Linked DNA regions of Macaca mulatta. The protein of the gene in region 7 interacts with the protein of the main gene of each other region in a pairwise test. Links are inferred from orthologs where the notes say so. Each region holds a gene or a part of one and is shown on either strand. Other genes may lie near its edges.

Evidence for each region.
Region 1: the proteins of KHDRBS2 (region 7) and PRR3 interact in binary tests that used the Homo sapiens proteins (3 or more experiments, as listed by UniProt). The two-hybrid records come from large-scale screens. The link is inferred for Macaca mulatta from reciprocal best matches to the Homo sapiens genes KHDRBS2 and PRR3.
Region 2: the proteins of KHDRBS2 (region 7) and DOCK2 interact in binary tests that used the Homo sapiens proteins (3 or more experiments, as listed by UniProt). The two-hybrid records come from large-scale screens. The link is inferred for Macaca mulatta from reciprocal best matches to the Homo sapiens genes KHDRBS2 and DOCK2.
Region 3: the proteins of KHDRBS2 (region 7) and RBM3 interact in binary tests that used the Homo sapiens proteins (3 or more experiments, as listed by UniProt). The link is inferred for Macaca mulatta from reciprocal best matches to the Homo sapiens genes KHDRBS2 and RBM3.
Region 4: the proteins of KHDRBS2 (region 7) and SDCBP interact in binary tests that used the Homo sapiens proteins (3 or more experiments, as listed by UniProt). The two-hybrid records come from large-scale screens. The link is inferred for Macaca mulatta from reciprocal best matches to the Homo sapiens genes KHDRBS2 and SDCBP.
Region 5: the proteins of KHDRBS2 (region 7) and CHTOP interact in binary tests that used the Homo sapiens proteins (3 or more experiments, as listed by UniProt). The two-hybrid records come from large-scale screens. The link is inferred for Macaca mulatta from reciprocal best matches to the Homo sapiens genes KHDRBS2 and CHTOP.
Region 6: the proteins of KHDRBS2 (region 7) and NCOA5 interact in a two-hybrid assay, tested with the Homo sapiens proteins (2 studies listed by BioGRID). The two-hybrid records come from large-scale screens. The link is inferred for Macaca mulatta from reciprocal best matches to the Homo sapiens genes KHDRBS2 and NCOA5.

The regions. Positions count from the first base shown.
Region 1 is NC_133409.1:152,487,934-152,492,165, forward strand, and holds the start of PRR3 (proline-rich protein 3), read right to left. Parts: upstream 2,801-4,232; 5' UTR 2,751-2,800; coding exon 2,645-2,750; intron 1,920-2,644; coding exon of another isoform or gene 1,857-1,919; intron 1-1,856. Other genes in the region: GNL1 (guanine nucleotide-binding protein-like 1), read left to right, coding at 3,911-3,983.
Region 2 is NC_133411.1:178,525,750-178,529,970, reverse strand, and holds the start of DOCK2 (dedicator of cytokinesis protein 2), read right to left. Parts: upstream 2,801-4,221; 5' UTR 2,740-2,800; coding exon 2,697-2,739; intron 1-2,696. UniProt on the Homo sapiens protein: Involved in cytoskeletal rearrangements required for lymphocyte migration in response of chemokines. Activates RAC1 and RAC2, but not CDC42, by functioning as a guanine nucleotide exchange factor (GEF), which exchanges bound GDP for free GTP.
Region 3 is NC_133426.1:48,642,341-48,646,441, reverse strand, and holds the start of RBM3 (RNA-binding protein 3), read right to left. Parts: upstream 2,801-4,101; 5' UTR 2,684-2,800; intron 1,757-2,683; 5' UTR 1,744-1,756; coding exon 1,641-1,743; intron 1,363-1,640; coding exon 1,256-1,362; intron 614-1,255; coding exon 508-613; intron 420-507; coding exon 323-419; intron 1-322. UniProt on the Homo sapiens protein: Cold-inducible mRNA binding protein that enhances global protein synthesis at both physiological and mild hypothermic temperatures. Reduces the relative abundance of microRNAs, when overexpressed.
Region 4 is NC_133413.1:69,251,366-69,254,865, reverse strand, and holds part of SDCBP (syntenin-1), read right to left. Parts: intron 2,481-3,500; coding exon 2,402-2,480; intron 1,155-2,401; coding exon 1,045-1,154; intron 1-1,044. UniProt on the Homo sapiens protein: Multifunctional adapter protein involved in diverse array of functions including trafficking of transmembrane proteins, neuro and immunomodulation, exosome biogenesis, and tumorigenesis.
Region 5 is NC_133406.1:113,398,861-113,403,083, reverse strand, and holds the start of CHTOP (chromatin target of PRMT1 protein), read left to right. Parts: upstream 1-1,423; 5' UTR 1,424-1,639; intron 1,640-3,880; 5' UTR 3,881-3,897; coding exon 3,898-3,962; intron 3,963-4,223. UniProt on the Homo sapiens protein: Plays an important role in the ligand-dependent activation of estrogen receptor target genes. May play a role in the silencing of fetal globin genes.
Region 6 is NC_133415.1:98,882,257-98,886,406, reverse strand, and holds the start of NCOA5 (nuclear receptor coactivator 5), read left to right. Parts: upstream 1-1,350; 5' UTR 1,351-1,887; coding exon 1,888-1,925; intron 1,926-4,150. UniProt on the Homo sapiens protein: Nuclear receptor coregulator that can have both coactivator and corepressor functions.
Region 7 is NC_133409.1:123,216,504-123,220,570, reverse strand, and holds the start of KHDRBS2 (KH domain-containing, RNA-binding, signal transduction-associated protein 2), read right to left. Parts: upstream 2,801-4,067; 5' UTR 2,579-2,800; coding exon 2,488-2,578; intron 1-2,487. UniProt on the Homo sapiens protein: RNA-binding protein that plays a role in the regulation of alternative splicing and influences mRNA splice site selection and exon inclusion. Binds both poly(A) and poly(U) homopolymers. Phosphorylation by PTK6 inhibits its RNA-binding ability.

The DNA.
Region 1 (4,232 bases), about 29 Mb from region 7:
AATCATACACTATGTCTTTACTGAACATAAAGTCCTCAAAGTTCATCCATGTTGTAGTATGTGACAGCATTTTCTTCCTTTTAAGGCTGAATAATAATCCATTGTATGTACACGCCACATTTTGTTTATTCTTCCATCAGTGGACATGTGGGTTGCTTCCACCTCTTTGTTATTGTGAATACTGCTGCTATGAACATGAGTCTGCAAATATGTCAAGACCCTGCTTTCCATTTTTTTTTTTTTTTTTGCTATATACCTGGAAGCAGGAGTTCTGGGGTAGTTCTATTTTTAATTTTTTTTGTCATACATACATATTTTTAATTGCTTAAGAGGAATCTCTTCATATTGTTTTATATAGTAGTTTCACCATTTTATAATCCCAGCAGCAGTACACAAGAGTTCTAATTTCAAAGTGGTATATTTTTATCTTGCATTTACTTGACGATTAATGATATTGAGTACTTGTTGATTTAGACTTTTAGTTCATTTAGAGCTCCATTTTAATAAGGTGTCCTTTTTTTTTTTTTTTTGGTCGATTTTTCAAATGGCTTGTCTGGAAGAATCCTTTATATATTATAGATAAAGGATCTTTATTGGTTATATTTGTTGCAAATATCTTCTATTGTATAGCTTCCTGTTAATTTCTTAATGGCGTTATTTGGCAAGTTTATATTTTCTTTTCTTTCTTTTTTTTTTTTTTTTGAGACAGTCTCACTCTGTCACCCAGGCTAGAGTGCAGTGGTGCGATCTCGGCTAACTGCAACGTCCGCCTCCAGGTTCAAGCGATTCTCCTGCCTCAGCCTCCTGAGTAGCTGGGATTACAGGCGCACACCACCACATCCGGCTAATTTTTGTATTTTTTAGTAGAGATAGGGGTTTCACTATGTTGGTCAGTCCAGTCTTGAACTCCTGACCTTGTGATTCGCCCGCCTCAGCCTCCCAAAGTGCTGGGATTACAGGTGTGAGCCACTGCACCTGGCCGCAAATTTATATTTTCTAATGGAGTTCAATTTATCAATCTTTCCTTTATGGTTAGTGTGTATACCTACATTTCTTATCTGTTTAAGAACTCTTAGCTACTCTTAGAAAATACATTTACTTTCTAGAATAATTATTCTCTTACCTTTTATACTTAGATCTACAGTCCATTATACAATATGATTATGACTACAAGGTGAAATTCCATTTTTTAACATGAATATCCAATTGATCCAATATCATTTATTGAAAAGACCAACTTTCCAGTTCCATCTTCATCATAAATGAAGTGTCCACACATGTATGGGCCTGTTATTGGACTCTTCGGGACATAAGTCCTGTTGACTTATGTGTATCATTGTGTCCAAACCGCATCGTTGTAACTACTGTAGCTTTATAGTAAGTCTTTTTTCCTTCTTGTTTTTATAGACAGGATCTCACTATGTTGCCCAAGTGGCCTCAAAAACTCCTGGGCTCAAAGGATCCTCCTACCTCAGCCTCCTGAGTAGCTGGGACCACAGGCATATGCCACCATGCCCAGCTTACAAATCTTGATATTCATAGTACGCCCTCCCACTTCAAGATTGTTTTGACAGTCTCTCACCTTGATATTTTGCATTTCCCTATAATACTGTGTATTTCCACAAAAACATTATGGGTGTTCTGACTTGGAATGCATGAAGTCTATACATCAATTTGGGAAGAAGTGACATTTTTACAACATTGAGTTTTTCAGTCAGCAAATATACAACTTCTCTCCATTCATTTAGGGATGGAATCCCTGACCTTTTGATTTTTAAGTCCTTCCTGGGTTTTATCCCCTCCCTTGCCGTCTTATCCGCGACCTAATACAAGGATCAGGGCCCCTTCCTCCTCACCTGACTTAGGGTCGCCAGGTTTTCCATTGGCCATGGGGGGAGGGCCCAGAAGGCTGGGTGGTCCTAAGAGCAGACATGAAAATATGGTCATCAGAATGGATTAAAGGACTGATGATTCTGTTCTTAGGCGTTTTTCTTGTATTACTCATTTCTTAATTCAACCAGTAAAGTCAGGTATATTTTCAGCAGTCTTAGGAGTTCTCACCCCATCTATCTGCTCTTTTTTCTGCAAAGCTGTTTCAGGGTTTGCAAAAAGTAGATATTCAATCAAAGGCGATAATGCAGGAAAAGATACAACTTTTTCTTTTCCTCACCGTACCGTCGCTATCCAAAACAACCTAAGTGTCTCCAGACATAAACCAATCCCTCACCTTAACTGCTGGCCAGTCAGTTCTCTTCTCCTTTCACTCGGCCAGAGGACTAGTTTAGAGAAAGCGGCACCTGTACCTTTTCAATCAAAATCCGGATACAAACTGTCAACCCAGTCATCGCAATCTGCAACATCTCTACTGCCCCTTTCCCCTACTGTTCTGCGGCTGCGCAAAAGAGCTCTTTACTCTCTCCACCCCCGCGTTCCAGAAAGGTTTGGGGCCGTATTGAGGTTGACGGTTCCAGTAAGAGAACTCCTGGTTCAAGGCTCCATTTGGGACAGCCCTGCTGCCATCCCTACCCAGCGCGTGCGCCCTTCCTCCTTCCGTTAGAGCCCCTTCCTTCGCACCTTATTAGCCCCTAGCCCTTCGCCCGGACGGGCTTGACAGGCATGTGCACATCCCTCCCTGACCCCTCACCGATGGGACTCCCATCCTCCTCATCTCCAGTCTCTTCCCGCTCGGGCAGTGGGGGTTGCTGCTGTGTCGGTGGCTGGTGCTGATTCTGCTTCTTTCGTTTCGGCATCGTGGCTGCGGCAATGGCTGCAGCGGGATTTGGAGGGTAGTGAGGAAGGGGCACGCGGGGATTCTGTTTCCGCTTCCGGGGGGTCGGTGGGCAGCAATGCCCAAGCTCCCACCATTCCACTTCCGGAAGGTTGCGGAGAACATCTGTGGCGGCCGCATTCTGGAGTAAACTGCCTCTCTCCGTCTCTGCCAGGCATGGCGGCAACCTCACACCTTCCTTTTGCTGCGTTTCTATAAATGCTTTGAAAAAATTCCGCTCTTCTTCCCTCGCTGGAAAACACCACAACCAGCTCCTCAGAGTGTGTCACAGAGTCAACAGGCTCTCGGGCCAGAAGGCCTGAGAAGAGGACTGTCGCACCGTAAGATCGCCACATCCGGTCCTCGGTTACTATGGTAACAGCTGCAGGCACAACTTTGTGCCCTTTGACCTCCCTCCAAAAGCCCTTGTCCCGCCTGGGTTTCGCTTCTCGCCCGCTTTTGCACTTCTGATCTGTAAACCTGCTCCTTATCATCGTTCCCACAAGGAATTTGGGTCCCAGCAGGTCGGCAGCCAGGACTCTTCAGACCGCCGCCCTCCCCTAAAGACCTCTGACCGTGCCCCCGGTGTAGCCCAGCAACCTGGCTTCATTCCCGGGACGCACCGTCTCGGCTTTCCACTAAGGTCAAGCCTGGGGGTTGGGAGTGTAGCCTCAGCGTGTCCACTCCTCCTCTCCCCTAGGTAATAGGCCCCGCCCTCCGCTCCGCCGCCCCCTCCAGGTGAGTGGTAGCTTCTCCCGGGAGCGCAAGGTAGTGATGACACGCGCTCCCCCCTCCTCCGAACGCGAGTTGGTAGCGTCCGTGACGAAGTTAGCCTGGTCCTCCCACGCGCGCCTCCTTCCTCGCCGCCGGGGTGCTCTCTCGGTGCTACTGGCTCTCACGTGCCAGTAGCCCACCCCGCATCATCCTTTCGCCTCGCTCCTGGAGGGAAGTGACTGTGTATCTCCCCTGTCCGCCTTCCATCGCCGCCGCGGCGGCAATTCGGTCGGGCCCGCCCGCTGACGTCACCTGCTAGCTCCGCCTCCTCTAGGGTCCCGGGCCCCTGCGGCGGGGACTGCCCCGGGGGGCAGTCAGTTGAGGCGGCAGGAGCTCGGCGGAGGGCGGGCCAGGTGACTGGTCCGGGCCATGCCGAGGAAGAAGCCCTTTAGCGTGAAGCAGAAGAAGAAGCAGTTGCAGGACAAACGGGAGCGGAAGAGAGGTCAGTGCGGGAGCTGGAGGAGGAGGCGGGGCTCGGGCTTCCGCACAGCTGGAAGGAGGGGTGTGCCCGCTGCACCTCTGGGGGTCGTGGGAGGGTGTCGTGGGACCGCGCCAACCCTCGCGGCCTATCGCGGAGGGGATCTCCCACCCCACCCCCCCACATCTGGAAGGGGTGGGGAAGGATGGAGAGTTGGGGGAGGGGAATCCCTCCAGCTCGCACGGGGCGCCGTCCCTACTGCTCCCTGGAGGA
Region 2 (4,221 bases), on a different chromosome or scaffold from region 7:
GAGGAAGAAGCAGCAAGGGTGTGCCTGCACAGAAAGCAATGAAGAGGCAGCAAGACAGCCATCTGCAAACCATGGAGACAGGCCACAAGACAAGCCAACACTGCTGGTACTTTGATCTTGGACTTCCAGCCTCGAGAACTGTGAGAAAATACATTTCTGTTGTTTAAACCACCCAGTCTGTGGTATTTTGCTATGGCAGTCCTAGCAAACTAATACATCATCCTCAATATTCTTCCTCCTCTCCTTAGTTATGAAGAGAACTCCTAATTTTTAGCTGGGTACATGGCTGCCTACATTACAGACTACATTTTCTAGCTTCCCTTGCAGCTATAGTCAGTCATGTGATTACATTTTAGCCAATAGGAGGTAAGAAGAAATGTCAAGTGTGCCTTCAGGTAAATGTCTTTAAACGGAAAAGTCATGACCTTCTTTTTCCTGCATCCTTTTTGCTGGCTGGAAGGTGGACCTGATAACCGAAGCTTAAGCAGCTTGTGTGGCTCAGAAGGCAGAAGTCACATGCCAAGGATAGATACAGTGTGAGATACAGAATGAGCCACCTTACCACCTCTTCACAGACCATTTCTGAGCTTTCTATGCAAGACATAAATAAACTTGCAGTTTAGTTAGGCCACAATTTTGCAAGTTTACTGTCACCCTTAGTCACACTTAACCCTAACTGATACTGTTAGTTTCTCTTTCTACCTCCTCCTTTTCTACCCTTTCCTCTCTCCTGAAAGGAGAAAGCTCTCTTCACTGACAAGAGCCTCAGGCAGAGTGGATTAACCTAGTAAAAGTTAACAGGAAATGTTGATTATAAGTGACCTCCTGCTAGATTAACCAGGCAGAAAGTAGACAGGTAAAACTGTTACCCATTTTCCTTCTATTCTAAGTCCAATCCCCACTCCTGTCCTAATTAACTATTTAACTTCTTCCAGATGACACTGCTCAAAACCTCCAGTGCTCACAGAAGGAAATCCAAACTTCGAAGCTTGGCACTCAGAGCCCTTCACAATCTAGCCATAATCTACCTCTGCAATTTTTTTAACACTAAAAGCAATACTAAAACCAAAGCAGAATATTTATTGTTTGACCCACACACTGCAGGGATGCCAGCTCCCTGCCTTTACCCATGATGTTTCCCTTCTAGATGCTTTTCTGGTGCCATGACCTAGGGTCTGAAGACAATTGAATTTAAGGCCCAGCTTCATTGCTTCCAAGTGATGTTAACTTGGTTACTGCATCTGTAAAGTGGGAATAATACACTGCCTCACATGCGGGTTCTGAAGTCAGACACAGACTGCATGACATTTGGTCTTGCAAACCATGAAACACTACAGTCTCATAAGGCATGACTGTCCTGAATCTGGCATTAGGGTGCATCTTGGTGCTGGTGTCTCTTGGTTCTGAAGCTGCTAGGTAAGCCCCTTGACCTCAATCTCTAATTCTCATTGAGCCAGCACACTACTAAATGCTTTCCATGCATAACCCCATTCAATCCTTACAAGAGTCTCATGAAACCTGCATTATTATTAACATTCCCACTTTATAGATGAGGAAACAGACCCTGATTTCAACTCAGTTCTGACTTCCCAGTCTAAGCCTCTAGCCTTCCACATAACTCCTCAAGGGCAGAAGCTGTATCCTTCCTTACTTTGTAACTGCCCGTTGAGGATAAGAATTATTATGTGTTCTCTGGATGGGAACCATTCATATCAAAATGCCCCCCACCCCATGCCCGGTGCCCAGTAATTGAGTGGATAACTACTGATCTCTCCAGGGCAGTGTTTCCCGAACAGCGGCCTGGGGACCCCCTGCATCGAATCCCTCTGGGCGCTTGGGTCTTCCAATGCCTCACCTGCTAAATCTTTGTTTCTGAGATGGTGTCTGGTATCTGCCTGTGTAGGAAGCTCCAGAGTGACTTTTTAATTGATATTGAAGTTTGAAAACCACAGTGAGTCCATGAAGATTGCACCACAGATGCCACTCAGAGAGAGTAGTAGCACCTGAGGCCTCCCTTCCCCCAGCCACCACTTCCGCCCCTGAGCTCCAGGCAGAGGCCTCTGGGAGTTTAGATGGCTGAGGCTGACAAAGCTAGCTTCTGGGTTACCCTCAGACCACCTGACGGGAGCCTTTTTCCCCAGAGGCTCTTAGGGGCTGAGTAGAGAACCCCACCGTCCAGCCCCATCCCCCAAGCTTGAGCTGCCCTCTGGATGCCCTGCCAAATCGGGAGTCACCTGACCCAGAAGGAACAGACAGGGGAAGCAGGCAGATGGGTGTCGCTTTGGAGGGGGTGGAAGTATGCATGGTGGGCAGGCCAAGGCTGAGCCTGAGGAGAGTGGAGCTCCCTCTATAAGGCCAAGTCTCCCATGCGGCGAGTTGGGGCACTCCTGGGGACGATGAGTCTGGCGAGAAGAGCTGAGTCGTCAAGCTCAAGTCTTGACCCTATCTCGGAAATGCCTCAGGTTCCCTCGGCAGGCGAGAGGGCGAGGGCTGTGCTTAGCGCGCGGGGTGGGGTCCCGCCGTCCTCTCCCCGAGCCTCGGCTTTTCCGCCCCGGGGCCCCGCGGCAGGCTACGCCCTCTGACCTGCAGGCGGCGCGCCCTGCCCACCCCGCGCGGTCAGCCCCGCAGCATCCTCCTGCTCGCGCCTCTCCCGCCACCTGTCCCGCTCCCTGCCGCGCCCTGGAGCCCGCACCTACCCACGCCGTGCCGCTCCTTGTCAGCTTTACGCCAGGGGGCCATGACTGAGCCGGGGCCTCGCCTCCTCCCGTGGGGAAGCCGGCAGGGGGTAGCTGGGCGCCGCAGGGCCCCACTTCCTTCCTCTTTTCAAACTCCTCTCAGGGCCCGCCCTCTCCTCCCTCCCCGGGGCTCCCCGCTCCCTCCTCCCTCCCGTTGGGCAGGGGCACACTAGAAGGCTGGTGCCCCGTAGGCTGGGATACGCCACCCCACCCCACTTCACGCAAAGCTTGGGGACCACTCCCACCTTGTCTCCTCCCCAGGCGAGGGGGGCAGAGGCCAGTCCCCACCTGGGGCTCCCCAGACCGCCACCGCAAGTGCAGAGAGTTTTCTGATTGCCGTGCCTAGGGGACTGAACAAACCATTTCCTTAAGTCCCCTCAGCGTGAGCTTTGGTGTCAGATCTGGGTTCGAATCCAGACGGGGACAAATGAATTCATTTTTCTAAGCTTCAGTTTTCTCATCTGTGAAATGGGATACTAGTACCTACTTCATATGATTATTCTAAGGGTTACAGAGGCAATGTACACAGCAGGTGACATGGAGGTGGATCGTTTACAGCCGCCTTTTTTTTTTTTTTTTTTTTTTTTGAGATGGAGTTTCTCTCTTGCTGCCCAGTCTGGAGTGCAAACACGATCCCGGCTCACCGCGACCTCCGCCTCCCGAGTTCGAGTGACTCCTCAGCCTCCCGAGTAGCTGGGATTACAGGGTTGCACCACCACGCCCGGCTAACTTTGCATTTTCAGTAGAAATGGGGTTTCTCCATGTTGGTCAGGCTGGTCTCGAACTCCCGACCTCAGGTGATCTGCCAGCCTCAGACTCCCAAAGTGCTGGGATTACAGGCATGAGCCACCGCGCCTGACCCATTTACAGCTTTTTATCGTTTTGGTGCCACAAACCCGTTGGAAAATCTGGTGTAAGCTCTAGAAGTTTTATTCTGAAAATACGTAAATACACTATTTACCAACATCACTGCAAGGTGAAGGGTGCTGTCACAGCCAGCAACGGTGGGCCCCAGGAAAAGAGCCCTAGAGTTAGGCTAATGGAGACATTTCCTCGAAAAATCTCATTTTTTGCTCTGGGAACAGATTCTGTCCAGAAAAAAAATCATGTCTGATCCACAGTGATAAGGCTGAATTTAAGTTTTGCTGAGTTTTCTTTCTTTATTCATGACTCTCATTACCCCTTTCTGCCTTACACTGAGAGTCATTAAGATACATAGGCAGTATCACAGCTGAACTGGAGTGACAAAAAATTATTTCGTTTTACCTGCAGTTATTTTCTGTTTTCTAGCAGCGTAAGTTAGGTAATAATGTCTTGTACAGACAGCAGTGGCATTAGGGTTCCCCCAGATGACCAGAATAGGAGATTATATATACACATACATATATATACATACATATATAAATGCATACATACATATATATATTATACATATACATATATATGTGTGTGTGTGTATGTTATATATATATGAGAGAGAGAGATT
Region 3 (4,101 bases), on a different chromosome or scaffold from region 7:
AACACGATATGTTAAGCATGAGTATCATAGTAAACAGTTTTATGGCATACAATGTATATGCAGTATTTAAATCATAATATGCAGTATTTAAATCATAATACACGTTAAAGCAATATAGTTATATAACCCACGCAGCACAACATGTGTATACTTTACCATGTTACAACCATATGACCACACAATTAACTCAAAATGCTGAATTTCATACTCGTTTTAGGCACACATTAGTAACAGCAAGATGTGGTATGCATGAAAACCCAGGCGCTGAGTTCTTAAGGAGAGGGAATCAATAGCAGAACATCCCAGCCCCGAGGCTACCCACCTGCCATTATAGTCTCTGGAACGTCCATATCCATATCCATACCCTCCAGGTCTACTGTCATAATACCTGCCACTCCCATAGCCCTGGTCCCCACCACCTAGAACAGAAAAATATTTAAATGGCAGTTGTCCTCACCTAGGCAACTCTCCCTCTCACCCCATGATCAAAACTATCACTGCACTCACCTCTAGAGTAGCTGCGACCACGCCCATGGGCCCCAAAGCCACCTCCTCTGGTTCCCCGAGCAGACTTGCCTGCATGATCCACACGGATCTGACGACCATCCAGGGACTAAGTGTGGGAGACACAAGGAGGATAGGTTGGCAGTCAGGGCAGTGGTGAGGGAAGAGCAGGCAAGGGCAAGTGGGCAAAAGAGGCCAAAAATTCCTGCTGGGCACCAGGTTCTGGGTGCCATGTTCCAGAATAAGCTCCTTTACCCCAGAATGGTTTCATCAGGAGCTATAGAATCCCACACAAAATGACCTGAATGCACCATGTTCCCCTTGCTACTACTTACATCTTGACTGAACTCAGGCTGAGTTCTCCTCCCCACTCCTCTAAGCTGCCCGACTATCAGGGCTAGACAGACACCTCTCTTGGTTTGAGGCTTCAGAGTCCATGTCAGAAGACTCACGAGGTCCTCTCCGGGCCAGGCCCACAGGTCTGCAGACTCTACTACCTAAGCCCAAGGCAGGTCAACCATCCACAGGTGGCTTCTCGGCCTCATGCAGGACCAGTCGTCGCCTCCCAGGCGGCCAGGCTCTGTCTGCCGCTGCCCTCCACCCCCTAGAACAAAAGGCAGTCATGCTCCTGTGAGTGGGCACTGCGGGGCTTGGTGGCCACGCTGCCCCGAGCAGACACAGAAGGAAAAACAAAAAGAATGAAGGAAGCCGCAGATGGGGACAAGGTCCCTCTGCAGATAGGAGGCCCCACCTCTCCGTTCATGGCTCTCATGGCAACTGAAGCATGCTCTGGGTTGGTGAAGGTGATGAAACCAAAACCCCTGGACCGCTGAGTCTCCCGGTCCTTGACAACGACCACTATGAGAGGGAGAGAAGAAGGAGCGATGTGGACCAGTCAGCACCACAAAGGTTAAGTAGCAAAGGGTGGTCCGAAAAGGAGATGGCGGTAGGTAGGGAAAACGGAGCCCTCCCACCAATCCCGAAGACGGTTCCCCTCATCCTTAGTGGACACCATAGGCTTAAGAAGAAAAAGAACATGGAAGCGTGGGTCCTAACTTTTCGGTTAATACTCCTTGAAATACAAGGATCCCAGATTTTCTCTCACCAACCCCCATTGAGAGTCTGGCCCGTCTCACCCTCAGAGATAGGTCCGAAACTGCTGAAGTGGTCTTCCAGCGCTTGCTCGTCGGTGTTAAAGTTGAGACCTCCCACGAAAAGCTTTCCTTCTTCAGAGGACATGGCAGTTCAAGTCCTGTGGGAAGAACATGAAGAATGGTGGCAGGAAGGAGGAACAAAATGGAGACGTGAGAAAATAGCGAGACAGAAGGCGGAGAGAAGTACAGAAAATAAAAAAGAGGAACAAAATGGCTGGGCGCGGTGGGTCACGCCTGTAATCCCAGCACTTTGGGAGGCCGAGGCGGGCGGATCACAAGGTCAGGAGACTGAGACCATCCTGGCTAACACGGTGACAGCCCGTCTCTACTAAAAATACAAAAAAATTAGCCGGGTGTGGTGGCGGGCGCCTGTACCCCAGCTACTCGGGAGGCTGAGGCAGGAAAATGGCGTGAACCCAGGAGGCACAGCTTGCAGTGAGCCGAGAGAGCTTGCAGTGAGCCGAGATCGCGCCACTGCACTCCAGCATGGGTGACGGAGCGAGACTCCGTCTCAAAAAAAAAAAAAAAAAAAAAAAAGAGGAACAAAACATGGGTAACTACAGAGAAACTGGGAAAGAAGGCCAATAAGGTAGTAATCTGCGGAGCTGGCTCAGCGCAGCCACCATTAGGGGGCCACTATTGCGCATGCTCACACATCCACAGCCGCCACGCCCGTCATTTTGTGTCACTGCGCAAGCCCAGAACATCCCTGCGTTCCCTCAACGCCGGCAGAACAAGATGGCGGCGGCCACGTGGGATAAGGAAAGCAAGTGTCGGCTGTCGCGTGGTCACTGCCACCACCGACGCCACCCAGTCCCTCCCGAGGGGCCTCACACTCAGATACAGCGCGCTGGCCTCCCACTAACCGAAATGTTCACCTCCCAGCACGGGACCCGCCCGCCCCAGAGAAAGCCAAGCCTACGTGTCAGCGGCCATTACTCTCCCCACTCACTATCCCCCGGTCTCGGCCGGCGCGGCGCGTGTGTGGCGAGGAGCCGCCGTTCCGCAGGCCATACGCAACTTACCTGGAAATTAAAACGTAAAAAACCCGGACAGACGGCGAGCTTGGAGGAGCACAGAAAACAAGGACTGGTCTGCGCGGGAAGACGATTGATAAAGAGTACGTAGCAAGAACGTCCCGGAACGTTCCCCTTGCGCGTCCCGGCGTGCATGCTGATTGGCTGAGGCTAGCAGGGGCGGAGTGGCGGGGGAGAGGAAGGGACAGCAAAGTGAAGGGAGCAGTATTCTCTGCGAAATGGGGTGTTTCCGGAAATGGGGTCGACTTTTGCACAGATGGTGCACCCTAAACGTCAGCATCCCCCCCACAACCGGCTGAGCTGCCTTGATCTCTCCCACACAGGAACCTTCTCACTCTCATACTACTTGCCGTCCCTGACATCATCCTCCCGTCCTTGCCATCGTTTCCCCCGCTGGATCTGATGTCTTCCTCACCATCGCAATCGTCTTCCTCTAGGTCCCTGCCATTCTCTGATGTCAACCTCCTTCACCTTCTAGTTCTTTAACCTCGTACCCTTTAAAGGCCCGACATTTTATCCCCCACGTCACTGATGTCATCACCCTTCACAGTCCGTGATGTCAGACCGTACGTTTTAAGGTTTGACACTGACTCCTACTCTTTCTCCTCTGTGCTCAACATCTAGCCGCCTGTCATGCGACGTTTTTCCCTGGCGTCATTCCTTCTCATCTCTGACTTCAGCCCTCACCCTTGTCTGACTGCCCCCGTGAAGCCAGCCCCTTAATTTTCCCACCAATAGACTGCCTGAGATGGCTTTTACAAAACAGGATGCTGGCCGGGTGCGGTGGCTCACGCCTGTAATCCCAGCACTTTGGGAGGCTGAAACGAGCGGATCACGAGGTCAGGAGTTCGAGACCAGCCTGGCCAACATGGTGAAACCCCGTCTCTACTAAAAATACAAAAAAAAAAAACCCCAAAAAACAACAACAACAAAAAAACAGCCGGGTGTGGTGGCACGCGCCTGTAGTCCCACCTACTCGGGAGGCTGAGGCGGGAAAATCGCTGGAACCCGGGAGGTGGAGGTTGCAGAGAGCCAAGACCACACCATTGCACTCCAGCCTCAGTCAAAACAAAACAAAACAGGATGCTGCGATCTTCAGAGGTTGTAAATCCCAGTCCTTAGAGCAATTTTTGCTCTCTTCGAAAGTAACTGAGCCCTTGCCGGGCGTGGTGGTGCACGCCTGTAATCCCAGCACTTTGGGAGGCCGAGGCAGGCAGATCACAAGGTCAGGAGTTTGAGACCACCCTGGCCAATATGGTGAAACCCTGTCTCTACTAATACAAATAATAATAATAATAATTATTAGCCGGGCGTGGTGGTAGGCACTTGTCCCAGCTACTCGGGAGGCTGAGGCAGGATAATCACTTGAACCCGGGAGGCAGAGGTTGCAGTGAGCTGAGATCATG
Region 4 (3,500 bases), on a different chromosome or scaffold from region 7:
TCACCACTAACACAAGTTTTCTATAAATATTTGGTAAATACATACATGCTAGGTACTGTATATGCATTGGGATATGGCAACAAGACAGACACAGATTTAACTACAATTATAATAAGTGGTACAAAGTGCTATGGTCATAGCAATAACCTTAATAAAAGGTTATCAGATCCATTATAATTAAGCTAGAATATGGAGTCTAATTACATGGAGCTTTGGATTTCAAAAAGAATGTTAAAAGACTAAAGAGCAAAGGCTTGGCGCAGTGGCTCATGCCTGTAATCCCAGCACTCTGGGAGGTCGAGGCAGGTGGATCACCTGAAGTCAGGTGTTTGAGACCAGTGTGGTCAACATGGTGAAACCCGGTCTCTACTGAAAATACAAATAATTAGCCGGGCATGGTGGCACGCACTTGTAGTCCCAGCTACTTGGGAGGCTAAGGCAGGAGAATCACTTGAACCCAAGAGGCAGAGGTTGCAGTGAGCTGAGATCACACCATTGCACTCCAGCCTGGGTGACAGAGTGAGACTCTGTCTCAACAACAACAACAACAACAAAAAAAAAGATTATGAGCAACAAAGATACGATAGACCTATATGTGTATTTCAGAATGATTAACTTAGCAACAGCTTAGTACCATCGAAATAAGTTACTAGAGGAAATTTAAGAGAGTACTATAATAATGAAGGCTAGAAGTATAGAAACCCTGAATATGGTTATAGTAGGACTAGAATGGATAAAAAACAGACAAAATGAATACAAGAAACAGAAACAGAATCAACAGGACTTAGTAAATGACTAAATGCAGAAGACAAAGGAGAATGAACTAGTAAAAGGTATCTGAATCTAAATCCTAATAAACTCAAAACGTGTAGCACAAAATGAAGTAGACTATGTAAGAAACGATATCCAAAAGGAAGTCTAAAATTTCTGCGAAGTGAGGTTCAATGCTGTTGTATATTTTTGAGTTAGCCACAAACAGGAAAGCTTATATTAATATGTAAAGTATGGTTTTATATAATTCAAAATTAATTACACTGTACATACCCCCTGAAGTGGTGCACCAGAAACCACGGCCACATTTGCACGTATTTCTTCTTCATTTAAACTCAGCCCCATGTATTGAGACAGCTCCGGATATAGTTTGGGATAGAGATCTAATAAGTAAATGAATGAATGAATAAATTAAAAAGTACTTACAGAATACACAAAATGAAAACTTCTTTTATTATGGGCTTCTGTGTATTAACGAAATTATACTTAAGTTATAAAATCTAGAATGAATTTAAAGTAGCAATTTGGAAAGGCATCTCCCCATCTCTGTAACCATTAGAAATGGAAAATACAGAAAATGTTTAAAATTCATAAAATATGAAGACATCTGAACTGAAACAACCAGATTCCTAAACACTCAAAAGTAGAAATAACTTTTCCAAATAAACTATCTTGCCTTTCCTGTTTCTTAAAATAAACCTACTTGATTAGGAATTTAGTAAGAATACCACTTACCAATTCAGAACAACTGACCAAAATATCTATTTGTCAAGTCAGCTACTTTATAACTCATTCTGTAAACAGGGCTATGGAATGATTCTTCTGAACAATCTTTTTTTGAAAGCTTGTAAATTTATTTAGTGTCTTATCAATTTTAGTAATTTTAACTACATTCCAATGAAATCCTGCAAATGGTATTTTTAAATATTAACATTATTTCACCTGGTAGTAGTTATATACTATTTCCAAAAGCTCTTTTCTACATGAGACTTAAATTATCTGTGACTTAAAATGAATTTTCTATGAGGCAAGGTTATAAACTGTTGTAAGACAAAATGACAGGCCACAAAATTTATTTAACACTTATTTTGTATCTTAAGTCATAGTATTTAGAAGCTCTGTCCTGAATCCCTCTGAACCTTGAAGAAAAAGGGACTAAAGACAGGATACAGAGAATGAATAAAGGCCTCAATATTTAAGAGGCTTCCCAAAGAGGAGGTGGTTGGAAATTTCAGAAGCTCCCATAGGAAAGACAGAAGACAATTCAGAAAGTTCAACAGCAGCAGCATGATGATAGTTCTTAAATGTGAATTCAAAAAGTTCTTACATGTGAATTCATATATATAATTCATTCATAAATGAATCAGCCACATGTTAGGGATTTACAAGTCAGTCTAAAATCAATTTTCATTAAGCCATGAAATACATCCCCATATCCACAGTTCACTATCTTAATTAGAAAAAGGGTTATTTTTTGAAGTAAACTTTTTTTTCTTATTCATAACTATTTGAGCTTAACTACCAATTTTATGCAGCCTGTCAAGAAAAAAAAATCTTGGATTCCTTATTTGAGCAAAAGAAGATAACAATATTTCTGTTCACAGAGAATGAACTCAAAGTATAAACCTACTTCGATCTTGAGAGATAGGAGCAGAAGCTTCTGACAAAATTGCTGGATTGGCAGGGTTTGCAGAAAAAGCAGTTTGAGCCTGAAAAAGAAAAGAAGAAAATTGTAACAATACACTATACTTACTTTATATACTTATATAATTTATAAGCTAAATCCAGTACTTCCAAAAAGAAACTAAAACAATGAAGATTTATGTAAGAAAGTTTAATTTCAAACATGTCAGCAATACATTTTTTCAAAGGAAATCTGCAAATCAAAATTGTATTTGATATTCTAAATACTTTTAAGGCTATCACAAAAAAATTGTAGAAGTACTATTCTACATGTCTTATAACCAGTATTTCATAGTGCTGCCACAATAAATATTTTCAAAGTGCATTCTAAAATGGATAAATTTTACATTTCATTATTCTTTTACTAATTAGTCCAAGTAAAATAAAATATTTGCATAAGAAAAAAGCATACCCATATTCATATAAAAAGTCACATATCAGAAAAACACCTAAAAAATAAATACTAAGTTGCTAATATTTACCATTTTAGCATGTCCCACTGAAATCATCTTCATCACAGCAAGTATAGCAAGGGATTTATGCTAAACACTTTTAGAATATCAGAAATTATGAAAATAGCACAGTTTATCACTGACATAAATGGATGATGACAAGGTAATATAATTTGTAACTGTTAAACTTGCCAAAATCATTCTGACACACTCTGACACTCTAGCATTTATCAGTGCTATTCATGACCAAGTATCCACTTCTCAGGGCTGCCTCGATGGCCTATATCATATGAAGTATTTTCACTGATGGAAATACTTTATCCTTTACCATTAGATCTACTTTCTGAAATAGCTATATGTCATTAGAGACAAGTTTGGTAATAAGTTGTATGACCAATCTCTACCAACTTTTTACTTTATTGGAAACGTGTAATTTTAAAAATGAAGTTCATAGTAGTATCTCAACCTAGCCCTAAAATCAATGTCAAGAGTAGTCCCAAAGATGCTTTGGAGATATGAAAGCTTAGGTTAAATAAGTAAAGCCTACAAAAGCTTTGAATGGTACTAAAGTCATATGTTCTGATATACTTGTTG
Region 5 (4,223 bases), on a different chromosome or scaffold from region 7:
ACTCCGGAGGCTGAGGCAGGAGAATGGCGTAAACCCGGGAGGCGGAGCTTGCAGTGAGCTGAGATCCGGCCACTGCACTCCAGCCTGGGCGACAGCGCGAGACTCCGTCTCAAAAAAAAAAGAAAGAAAAAAAAAAAAAAAGAAAAATCCCTTATTGAGGCCGGGCATGGTGGCTCACGACTGTAGTCCCAGCACTTTGGGACACAGAGGTGGGCAGATCACTCGAGGTCAGGAGTTAGCGACCAGCCTGGTGAAATCCCATCTCTACTAAAAATACAAAAATTAGCAGGGCGTGGTGGCACGCGCCTGTAATTCCAGCTACTCAGGAGGCTGAGGCAGGAGAATCGCTTGAACCTGGGAGGCGGAGGTTGCAGTGAGCCGAGATGGTACCACTACACTCCAGCCTGGGTGATAGAGCGAGACTCCATCTGCAAAAAGAAAAAAAAGAAAGAAAGAAAGAAAGAAAAATCCCTTAATTGAGCAGGACACATAGCTCATGCCTATAATCCTAGGACTCGGGAGGCTGAGGTGAGAGGATCACCTGAGCCCAGGAGGTCAAGGCTGCAGTGATCCGTGATTGATTGCGCCACTGACTCCAGCTTGGACAACAGAGCCAGACCCCGTCTCAAAACAACAACAACAACAAATCAAAAAGCGAGAAAAGAGAAATCCCTATGTAGGTCTGCCACAAAATAAACACGGATGGCAGGTGTGGAGGGAGGACATGGAAGCGCAATCGAGGACGCAAAGGTGCACCCCCCGCAAGAAGGATTAAACAGTATTTAGGCCAAGTTGGGAAGGGGAGGAAGTGAAGAGGAAAACATGGACGGGCGGTGGTGTTGGCCAGCGCAGGATGGGAGAGGAATGTGCTCCCAATACTGGCCTCCTGGGCCTTGGCGGGAGCATTTACGGCACTTTACAACTCTCAGACTGGGCGACTGGCCATGAGGGGAAAACCAGTGCAAATTCCCCAGGCCCAGTTGTCCGGAAGAAGACGAGGCAAGTCCGCGTAAAGATTTTTAGACGATGCACCTTGCCTAAGGAACAGAGGGGCAAGGGAATTCGGAACCCAAATCCCCTCTAAGACCCTGATTACTAACTAGTAACCCAGGAGGTTGCAGCTTAACCACTACGGGAACTTGAAGTCCCGGCACGCCCCGATAGGGCCATTGTCACGCCCCCAGGGGGCGGGGCACTGCTTATACCGCTAAGGTAAAGTTTGCTGAAGTTCACCCTAAGGCTCCGCCTCTGATCCCTGCGCAGGCGTAGCTCAAATCTTTCACGCCCTCTAGTCGTGAGCGGATCTGACGCCTGACGTAATGGCGTAGACGCCATTTTAGCCGGTCCCACAAGCACTGCATGTGGCGGCCATTTTGTTTTGGACACCGAGCCGGAGCTGGCGGCCGCTGCAGACGAAAGGCAAGAAAGGGCAGGCCGGGTGAGCAGACGGATCGGCCGGCTAGACAGCCAACCAGCAACAACGAACTGAGCTCGCATACTACCGCTTACGCATCTGACCAACCGCCCATCTAGCTAACCCGAGCCCCTCCACCGTCAACTCAGGTTCGGCCGGTCCCCGGCCCGCCTGCCGGAGCCGTGGTGGCAGCCCCGGGAGGAGCACTGGCGTCTGTTTCCTTCGGTGAGTTTCTGTAGGGAGAAGGAGCGGGGTGGCGGGGTCTTGGGGAGCGGAAGGGGCTGGCGGACGCGGAAAGGGGGTGGTGGCATGTGGACACAGCTACGGTGTTGGAGCGTGGAGGCCCGGGGGAGGAGGCGGAGCCCCTGCGAAGGGGCGGGGGAGGGGCTGAACTGGAACCTGGTGGCGGGACTGATGGAGGTTGGGGTTTGATAGGGATTAAAAGGAAACTTGGGTTGAGCAAAAGTGGAAGTCTTGATAGGGCTTTGAGGATGGTAGGGAGATTAAGAAATACAAGACTTTGAGGAATGTTGGAAATTAATGGCGGCTTTAGGGTTAAGTTTTGTGGAGGGCTCTTTGCGAGCTCATTCCCCAGGTGAATTTAGAAAACCTTTCCTACGCACTCCCCGAGATCATTAGTTTATTGTTACAAAAGTCTCTACTTGATTCTGGAGTTGAAAGCCAATTTTTAAACTAGGCTTTTTTTTTTTTTTTTTTTTTTTTTTGAGACGGAGTGTCGCTCTTTTTGCCCAGGCTGGAGTGCAGTGGCACGATCTCAGCTCACCACAGCTTCCGCCTCCCGAGTTCAAGCGATTCTCCTGCCTCAGACTCCCGAGTAGCTGGGATTACAGCCATGCGCCACTACGCCCAGCTAATTTTGTATATTTAGTAAAGACGGGGTTTCTCCATGATGGTCAGGCTGGTCTCGAACTCCCAACCTCAGGTGATCCGCCCGTCTCGGCCTCCCAGAGTGCTGGGAAAACAGGCGTGAGCCACCGCGCCCGGCCCTGCCTATATTTTCACTCTAGATCAGTAGTTTTCAACTTTAACTGCACGCTAGAAGCACCTAGGTAGCTTTCCCTCCACCCCACAATTGTTCATTTCCAAACCTCGTTACTAGAGATTGTGGTTTAATTGATCTAGGCCCAGATACCTGTATTTTTTATTTTTTTAATTAATTTATATTTTTATGGAAACGGGGTCTTGCCATGTCGCCCAGGCTGGTCTTGAGCTCTAGGGCTCAAGCATTCCGCCCACCTTGGCCTCCCAAGGTGCTGAGATTACAGGCGTGAGCCACCGCGCCCTTTGAAAGCTCCTTGGATAAGTCATATGTAGTCAAGGTTGAAAATGACTGCTCTAGAGAAAAAGCCAAACTCGACCGGGCGCGGTGGCTCACGCCTGTAATCCCAGCACTTTGGGAGGCCCAGGTGGGTGGATCGGGTGAGGTCAGGAGCTCAAGACCACCCTAGCCTACGTGGAGAAACCCCGTCTCTACTAAAAATACAAAAACAATTCGCCTGGCGTGGTGGCACATGCCTGTAGTCCCAGCTACTCAGGAGGCTGAAGCAGGAGAATCGGTTGCACCAGGAGGCAGAGGTTGCAGTGAACCGAGATCGCACCACTGCACTCCAGCTTGGGCGAGAGAGTGAGATTCCGTCTCAAAAAAAAAAAAAAAAAAAAAAAAAGGCCAGACTCCATACTTTGATTGCTAAATTGGGTTCTGCCGTTTTTGAGAATTTCCTGGGTATTTTCTGGGCCTTGGAGTTTGTTTGGGGTTGGTTGGTTGTTTTAAAGAGATGGGGTCTCTCTCAGGCTGGAGTGCAGTGGCGTCATCACAGCTCTTTGCAGCCTCCAACCCCTGGGCTGTAGCACTTCTCCCACATCAGCTCCCCCTGAGTAGCTAGGACCACAGGTGCTGGCCACCATGCACTGCTATTTATTTATTTATTTATTTTCTTAGTAGAGACTCGGTCTCACTTTGTTACCCAAGCTGATCTCTAACTCCTGGCTTCAAACCATCCTGTGCCCTCACCCTCCCAAAGTGTTAGGATTACAGGTGGTGAACCACCACGCCCAGCCACCTTGAAGTTACAGTAATGTGAGGTAACTGCCATAGAAATTTAAGCACTTTTGCACTTTTGCTGGGCATGACACCTCATGTCTGTGATCCCAGCACTGGGAGGCCAAGGTGGGAACATCCTTTGAGGCCAGGAGATTACAGCTGCCGTGAGCCACTGCAGCCAAGATCATGCCACTGCATTCCAGCCTGAGTGACAGAGTAAGACCCTCTCTCAAAAAAAAAAAAAAAAAAGAAAAAGAAATTTAAGCACTTGAAATGTGCCCTCATGTGCTCTTAAGTCATCAGTGATAAGGCCTTTTTATTTATTGTTGACTTGGGCCTTGCCACTTATAGAAATGATGTGGTCACTATTGTGATTTGCTCATTTTACGTATTGTCCTTTGTAGATTCTCGGGATTTGAAGATGGCTGCACAGTCAGCGCCGAAAGTTGTGCTAAAAAGCACCACCAAGATGTCTCTAAATGAGCGGTGAGGCAGCCAACAGCAACTTCAGCTCCTTCCTAAGAAAACATTACTTAACTTGGCCCTGGGGTCCAGTGCACAAAGCCAGTTTTAAGCTAAATACCAACAGAAGGCTACAGACCTCTGTTCTTAGTTGCATCTCATGTGGTACACAAAACAAATTGGGCGGTTGTTTCAAAACCCCTTATCAGTAGACTTTTATGTTAAGCTGTCTGAAATATTTATTTGGTGGGATGTATTTTAAAAGACTCCTAACACCCTCCCTTT
Region 6 (4,150 bases), on a different chromosome or scaffold from region 7:
GGCAAATTATTGGTAATAGAAACCTACCAATTAAAGTAATACTGTATGCGTTGTACTCTCACCTGAATGTTTGCCCAGTCTAGTCAGTGTTTAGATGTGAGTTTTCTTTATTCACAAGACCATTTAATAATATATGAACTCCTGCTGAAATTACGTTATATGTATTTTTTAATCTTAATACACACCCAGTGTATTCCAGAGACACCTTGAAAACTACTTAAAATACTCAAAGATATTATATTTCTCTCTGAATCATAGCCAACCTATATAATTAGAAAGTGGTACACAGTAAGGGAACAGACTCAGTAAGTCGTAAACCTGAACTAGTATTTTTCACAATTACGTATAATAGAGCTAGATATTCCCTATAAGGCCTGTCATTGTATAATTTGTAATTTAGACCATTATAAACTTTAAGACTTGTAAATTGTGAAAGTACTGCATGCAGTAGCAAAGCTATGGTCAGATATTACTGGCCAAGTCTTACATAGAAAATATTTTCAGTTTTTTTTTAAATAGATTATATCTTGTGTCTGCTTAATTGAAAAGGTAGGAATCAATTTAAGATATACTTCACTATTTAGCTTTATATTAGCTTCAGTTTTGTCAGAAGCCATTTTTCTAGACAAATTAGAGACTTCTGATTTAAAATGGAGTTGAAGATTACTCTCATTTGAACAGGAACTCAAAAGTTGGCAACATAGCATAAAATCTGTACCAGACCTCTAAGTTTCTTGTTATTGCTGTTGTCTTTCATGTGATAGGAATCTGGTTGGGGTTTTTTAAATACATAGTTATTATTTCGAATTATGTGAGTACTTAATACCATTTGATGTCATTAGATACACCATTGTTTAATATGGAAAAAGGGGAACAAACTATACAGCAGAAAGCAGTTTTATTTCTTCATTCATCTGAAGTATGAAATTTGTAATGTATTTACTTAGCTTTAAGTCATATGAAAATTGTCAGGTATTATTTTGGGGCATAGATTTCTTAATACATGGTGTTTATTATTCACTTCAATTTTTGTAAAGCAGGTATTTTTTGTTTTTAGTAAAGCAGGCTTTAACTCTACAAATTTGCTTTTCTTTAAGTTTGTGTGATTCTGCTTTTCTCCCATATCTAGTTCTATATGCCAGCCTTCTCTAATGAAAACAACTTATCAGTAGTGTTTTATTACCTAACTCTACTATACCATATGCCAGTCTGTATTCTTGGTTATCTGTCTGTGAAGGTTGTAGATATTAACAGGTCATATTCTTTGTTTATTAAAAATAGTAATAACAGTTTTCTTTCCTGCATGTTATTCCTGAAGATTCTATCCAATGGAATTCAACACAAGACACACTAACAGGAGGCCCTGCTTCATGGGATATTGGAAGTTTTAAGACACTGAAATCCAGCTATTACTTCTTAGTAACATAAAATAGAATTATTTACCTTTGCCCTTTTGTTTTTTAAGCTCTCCTTATCTTCCCCCCCCACTTTTCTTCCTCACAAAAAGAATCTTACAACTGCTTTCTAAGAGTTTAGAAAACAACCTTTTCCTCCCCTTGGAGGGAACGTGTCAGGTCTAGGGCTTGGCAGGGTATTAAAGCATTGACGTAATTAGTTTAAGACAAATTATGTGTTAACTAGAAAACGAAGGGACATTTCTTACCAAGCTGTGACAATGTACTACCTTAACTCAATAATAAAAATTGCCCAAGTGACAGTGTGTCTCTGCTGAATGGCTTTTCTTACACCATCTGGTTGTCATTGTAGTTTTTTGTTGTTGTTGCTTTCATTTGAAATGTGCTGATGATCTTGTTTTTATTCCGTAGCATTGAACAGATGGGTTGATTATTCTTTTCAGATATTAATAAGGCAGCGGAAGGAAGAAATATGAATACGGCTCCATCAAGACCCAGCCCCACACGAAGGTAAAGTACCCTGAAGCCGTGAGTTACCTTGGGAGAGTTGGGCTCTGGGGAGTTAAGCCCAGCTTCGTACACCAAAGGTCTTTTCTTCCCCCCAACAAGTGAAACGCTCAAGCAAACAATAAGAACATGAACCCTGTGTGAAGGGCCTTGCTGCTTTTTTTAAACATACATCAGGAGATACAGAGGAAGCTTTGTGTTTTCGGTGGCAAATCCAGCAAGTTCAGCTTGCAACATGAGTTGCAGGCAATTGGAAGAGGATAAACCTCTGTCTGTCCCCAGCTCACGTGTCAGTGGGAGCCTCCAGAGCAGAAGGAGTGCCCCAGAGTCATTGGTGTATGCCATGCTGCACTGCAGTGGGCAGCAGAGATTCGACTCTTCATTCCAAATGGCTGCCGGTCCAGATGTTAACCCAGGTTTACGGAAAGTGCTGCTTGAGAGATTACCGCTGTGCCTGTGCTGCAGATCCCCTGTTTGCTCACATACTTGGGTTACCTGTTTGAGGGGAAATAAAAAGGGCAAAACACTCCAGCTCTCGAAAGTCTCCCTTTTTCTTAGCTTTCACGGAAATCGAGGGTGTTTTCCCAATGTATTCTTCCTTCCAGTGTATACAAGAGAGATAATCCTGGTGCGTACCCTCAAGATACATATTAAATTGGTCCCTTCTCTCAAAGAAGAGCTTTATTAATGGTACCATTTACACCATAAATAAAGATATCCTATTCAGTTGTTCTGGCCCCATAACAGCACACAAATGGATGCAGTTTTGTGTAGAGGGCAGACAGATATGATATATTTCATACAAATGATATATTTCATATCTGATGTCTCTTCAGGGCCCAAATGGATTAATGGATTTTGCCTTGCCTCTAAGTAAAAAAGCCAATTTTCCCCAGAAACATACCTAAACTACGTACCACAGTAAACTGCATTTCCTACAGTGAACTGGACAGTGCTGCATACAGTGAATCCTCATCTGTACTAGTAGCTCCACTGGTCACCTTGTGAACTCAGCTAACTGAGCATTACGCATAACATAGAGCTGTCCTGCTTTTGGACAAAAACACCTGTATTTTGTTACCTACTTATAGGAAAGAATGTCCACTGTGTGTTTCATGTATATACTCCTACTTGGATGTGAAGTTCTAGCTACTGGGAATAGATTACGCATGCCCACTCTGCAGAGTTTAAGCAGACCCTAAGGGCAAAGTAATGCTGCTGGTTTCATTCAGTTGGAGTCTTTGTCCACTCTGCCTGTGCAGCAGAGTTGAGTCCAATACCATAGCTTCAGCTATACCACAGCTGTCGTGTGGATTCTCTGGCCATTCGTTGGTTTCTCTGCGGAAGTGGGCATGTAAATTGGTATTCTGTCTGTTCTCTCTAAGGAATGCCTGCAGCTTGCAGGTAAATACTCTGTTGGTTGATTTGTGTGTGTGTGTGAGTATCCTGAAGAACATAAACAAATCCTGCAGAACTTCAGCAGTTCCGTATAATGTCTACTTTCATTAGCCTTCATCTAACCGTGCCACAGATCTTGGGCAGTCCTATCTTATTGTCCCAGTACAGAATGGAATACAGGTGGATGAGAGTTGCATCTAATGGTCAGAAGTACAGGGTTCCCATTGGAAGCTTTAATTGTCAGGTGGCTTGAAAGGAGATATGGTGTGTATCCAGTTTCCAAAGAGCGCTACCGCTACCGTGTGTGTTTCCTGGTAACTTACCAGGAGTGTGGAATTTGTAACTTTAAAAGACACTGACTCCACTAGTAAAATCCTCCCCCTCTATGTTGTCTCCATGATACTTGGTGATCTTTGGTGATCTCTGGATAATGTCTGTGTGTTTCCACAGGCGTAAAAAACAGTAACAACAAACAAGCCACATTGCAGAACAGAGAGTAGATCCTGTTTCTGTTATGGATTGAGAAGGGTATTTTATATCATCCTGTTGATGATACTTAACCAAATGCTTTTAACATTTCCAGTTGGTTGTAGATGTTCAACAAACATTGCAGTGTTGGGGAATGACCAACTTCCCTGGTTGGAACCTAGTAATAGCCATTGCCAGAGCATTAAATTAAAAATATTAATTTCACCCCAATCTAGAAATAGTTTTATGCTTTTTTTTTCTTTTTTTAATAATAGTCCCTGCACAAATAAACATACAGACAACATTGGAGAGGGCCTTATAAAATGAGCTTCTAGCCAGGCACAGTGGCTCACACCTGTGAT
Region 7 (4,067 bases):
GCACTGATTTGCATCTATCACCAATCAAAATGCAAAATAAATCATTGTGAAAGCTCATTGGTTTATATTACTGCCTTTATAGATATTAGCTTCCGGAAAATCATTCTGAAGAACTGAATCATCTGTATCATTTTTATTACTCATTCAGGCTTGACACTGTCTGCACAGTACTGACTGAAATGTACTTCAGTATGCACCTTCTCTCCAAATGAATATCTATGTCAGGTTTATTTATAGCCACTGCCTTCAATCAGTGCATTCTCAAGTATAAGAAATAAAATCACCTCAATGATACTCTTCTATAGACATCTGCAACTAAGTGTGGACATCTTGGCAACTGGCCTTTGGAAAGATAATGAAAGATCTATACCATAAAATATACATTAAGATCATTGAGATTCCAAGAACAATCATCTTACACTCTTTAATAAGCACATGTAAAGAGTCCCAAGTACTGAGGTAATCTAAAACTTATGCATCCTTTTGCATAACTCTTTATGTACTCCAAGATTATTATAACCTCCTCCACTCTCTTTTCCTTATGCTGATTTCTCTGAAATTTAGGTACCCTCTTTGTTTCTTACTTAGATGCTTTCCTCTATTCAGGAGCTTTTCCTTCTAATTCTTTACAAAAGCAGGGCATGCTTCCCCCTGCTGGGAAAAAATCAAATTACAAGGAACATCAGAACATGTTCCTAAGTATTATATCAAGAAATCAAGTTCCTAGGAAAGATAAAATGTTAAGGAACCAAGTGCATAGCCTTCTCTGACTGCTTTACCAGACAAAGAAATACTTATGCACTCTGTTAAGAGTTTCTTGTACGCATTTATTTAGCTTGACCGCCTTCAAGTACAATAACTCATATTAATGACTGATGAATTAATCTTTGAGCCACTTGTCTCAAATAGAACTCTAATTAGCGGGTCAGAGAGAACGATCAATTTGTAAGTGTTTTTTTCTTTCACTTTAAAGACATATTATCAGCTACATAAAGAAATTTCTGGAAAATACATTGAAGACTATTCAAAATATATTAAAGATACTGAAGACTGGTAAGACTTGCCTTTTAAATCATTTCAAACAATCTTAAACATCTATTAACTCATTATTTTGCTATTATTTTTATGTAGTTGTCTTTTTTGAGAAAGCAAAAAAGTGCATTTTTATTGACTTTACTTTTCCAGTTTAATTTCTATTTTTTTCATTCAGTAACCAAAGTAGTAGGCATAATTGTATTTCACCTTCCCACTTATCTATAAAACAAGCTTTTTCCCTGAAAACAGTTCAGTTATTTCACATGTTCCATGTTTTGACTATAAATCTTTTTCTAACTGTTTAGCATTTAAACATAAAAAAAAACCTTACACTTTATTGTTAACATAAATAACAATCCATCAATTAAAAATATAGCTAACACCGATTTAAATCATATATTGAGGAGCAGAATTTATTCTTCCTTGGTACAACTAAGTCTCAAAAAAATCTTTTAATACTGAGGAGCTGGGGTAGAGGAAGTTATCCCTTTTAGTTTTTTGCTGTATGTAAGTCCGTAACAACCTTAGCTACAAAACTGCACTGTAACCAATTTGATGATGAAGCAATTCATTATTAATGAAGCATTCATCTAAAAAAATCTGCAGCTGTTTTATAAAAGGCATGTGTAAATAACTACAGATATAGGTGTCTTGAGTATTTAGATGGCATTATTATAACATAAACGGAGTAATTTGGTTAATAAAGTTTGTGTGTCTTTTTTTTTTTTAACCTTTCAAAGCAATGCAAAAGACAAGACATATATGTTCCTCTGGGAACGAAATCTCCTTTAACATTACAGGTACACAAAAGAAAATGCACACTTGGTAAAACAGTTGATCAATTATAGAGCGTTCCCAGGGACCAGTATCTCGCAGAGTACCCAATCATCACACTTCAAATAAATGTATAAGCACTTTAGCCTCTACTTACTACATTAACATACATATAAGAACATGCACAGTTTAATGCATAGGTTAATTCTAACACTTTCCATAGGATAGACTTTGATTAAAGGGCATCAAACATCACTTCCTAAATGCAGTAAAAAATAAAAATAAAAATACTGATCTGTAGCCAAAAAGCTCTTAGAACACTACATTGATCACCATTGACTTCCAAACTGCTTTCCCCTCCCTCAGCGAAGTGAAAATGTCCCTGTAGACCGCGTTACACTTTACGGTTTCTCTATCAACGATCCTAACAGGTCACATCGCCACTGCCATTAGATCTCCGTAGCTTTGGTCTTCTCCAAATTAAGACGTGGAGAAGGAGCACTGCTGTCCGCCCCAAGAACGGGGTCTGTCCGCCCGAGCTCTGAGACGAGCATCTTCAGGGGGACAGTTTCTGCGAAGGCGGCGACAGGAGTCCCTCCCCAACTTCACTCCCCTAATCAAGCCAAGGGTAAAATAGGCAGCCGGCGGTTTGTGCCCATCGGTGGGGGCAAGTCCTACCTTCTGCCAAAAGGCGCGATGCATGCACAAAAGATGGATCCAGGCTATCTTTCTCTGCCATCAGCTCAGGCAAATATTTCTCCTCTTCCATAGCGCGGACTTCGGACTGTCCCCGGGCGAAGCGCGAGGTTCCGCTCGCTCGGACGCAGGGTCGTGGGGCAGCGCCTGGCTCCCGCGCTGCTCCTCCTCTGCGCGGCGAGGGGATCTCCGTGCGTCCTCACTGGCCCATGCACCCAGCACCTGCGACTCCCGCCGTCGGGCTGCGTGGCCCCGCGTCCACACCTGCCCGTCCCTTCCGTCGTCCCTCGCTCGCGCCGAGCCCGGGCTCACACCAGCGGCCTTAACTGGAGAGGCGGGAACAGGGCGCGGCCCACCTCCGCCAACCACTCATTGGTGGTGATGCCAGGAGAGGCGGGGCGCTGGCGAAGGCCGCGGGCCCTCATTGGGCCGTGGTGCACGTCGGGTCGCCTGACTGGCAGGAGGCAGCTGCAGAGGGGAGGGGAGCTCGGAAGATGCAAACGCTTTCTTCTTGCAGCCCAAGCCTTCCCTGGCTATTAGGCATGCCCAGTTCTGTGGAGCTCTCTGTGTCTTCAGCTAAGGTGCAGAGGAGAGGGCGGGAAAAGCGCAGGTTAAACAGAGAGGTCTGAGTCCAAGTGGACAGGGGAGATGGAGATGAGAAGTGAGCCGCTGAGAGGGTGGAAAAGCGCCAGCGAAAGTCTCAGGAAGGTAGATGGGACTTCACCTGCGTCCCTAAGGCACAGGTGTCTCCTTTCCCTCACACAGCTCAGACGCACTACAGTTGTGCAGGAATCAGCAGCGCACTGGGTCTGGAAATATAATGAAGACTGCATGTGATCGGCAGCTGGTATTTCCGATGACCTACATCTCAGATACGCAGTAGGATGTTCATTGATAAACAAATAAAGCGGCTCGGAGAAATATTGTGCAGAAACATTCTTCTGGTGTAGAATCATTGGGATATTGAATTAGTTATGGTAACCTATCTGTCCCTCCTTTCCCCAGACCCTATCTGTGGAAGGCAGGTTGGGAGGGGCTTAATTTAAAAACATATATATATATATATGATTCATTAGTCACAGTTTGTGAAGGAATTGGGAAGACATGTAGAAGAAGAGACTAGAACATAGGTAATCACGTTTGCTCTAATTCTCCCCTTTCTCCTCGTTGGATATGTGCCAGTCTCTTTCACCAGGTACTGTTGCTGAGCTACTTTGTATTATCCCACCTCTATTTAAAGGAAAGTTAAACCCTCATGATATCACCAACTGTGACCAAAAAAAAGCCCCATCCTTCTTTTACCAATGTGGCCATAAATGTAACTTGCATTCCTCAATCGCTAGGAAATAATCTTTCCCCAAGTCTTGGGTTCTCTTTTCATAAGCAGTCATTTCCTGATTCTTTCGCCATTACTTTTGATGTAGAAGAATGAGGGCCAACTTTTCTACAAATAAAATATGCTGAAATTTTTCCAACTTCTCTTACTGAATTTAAATATTTTCCTCTTTAATTAATTTTTAGATAAATTTAGGAGATTATCTTTTATTTATATAATGTTTAAA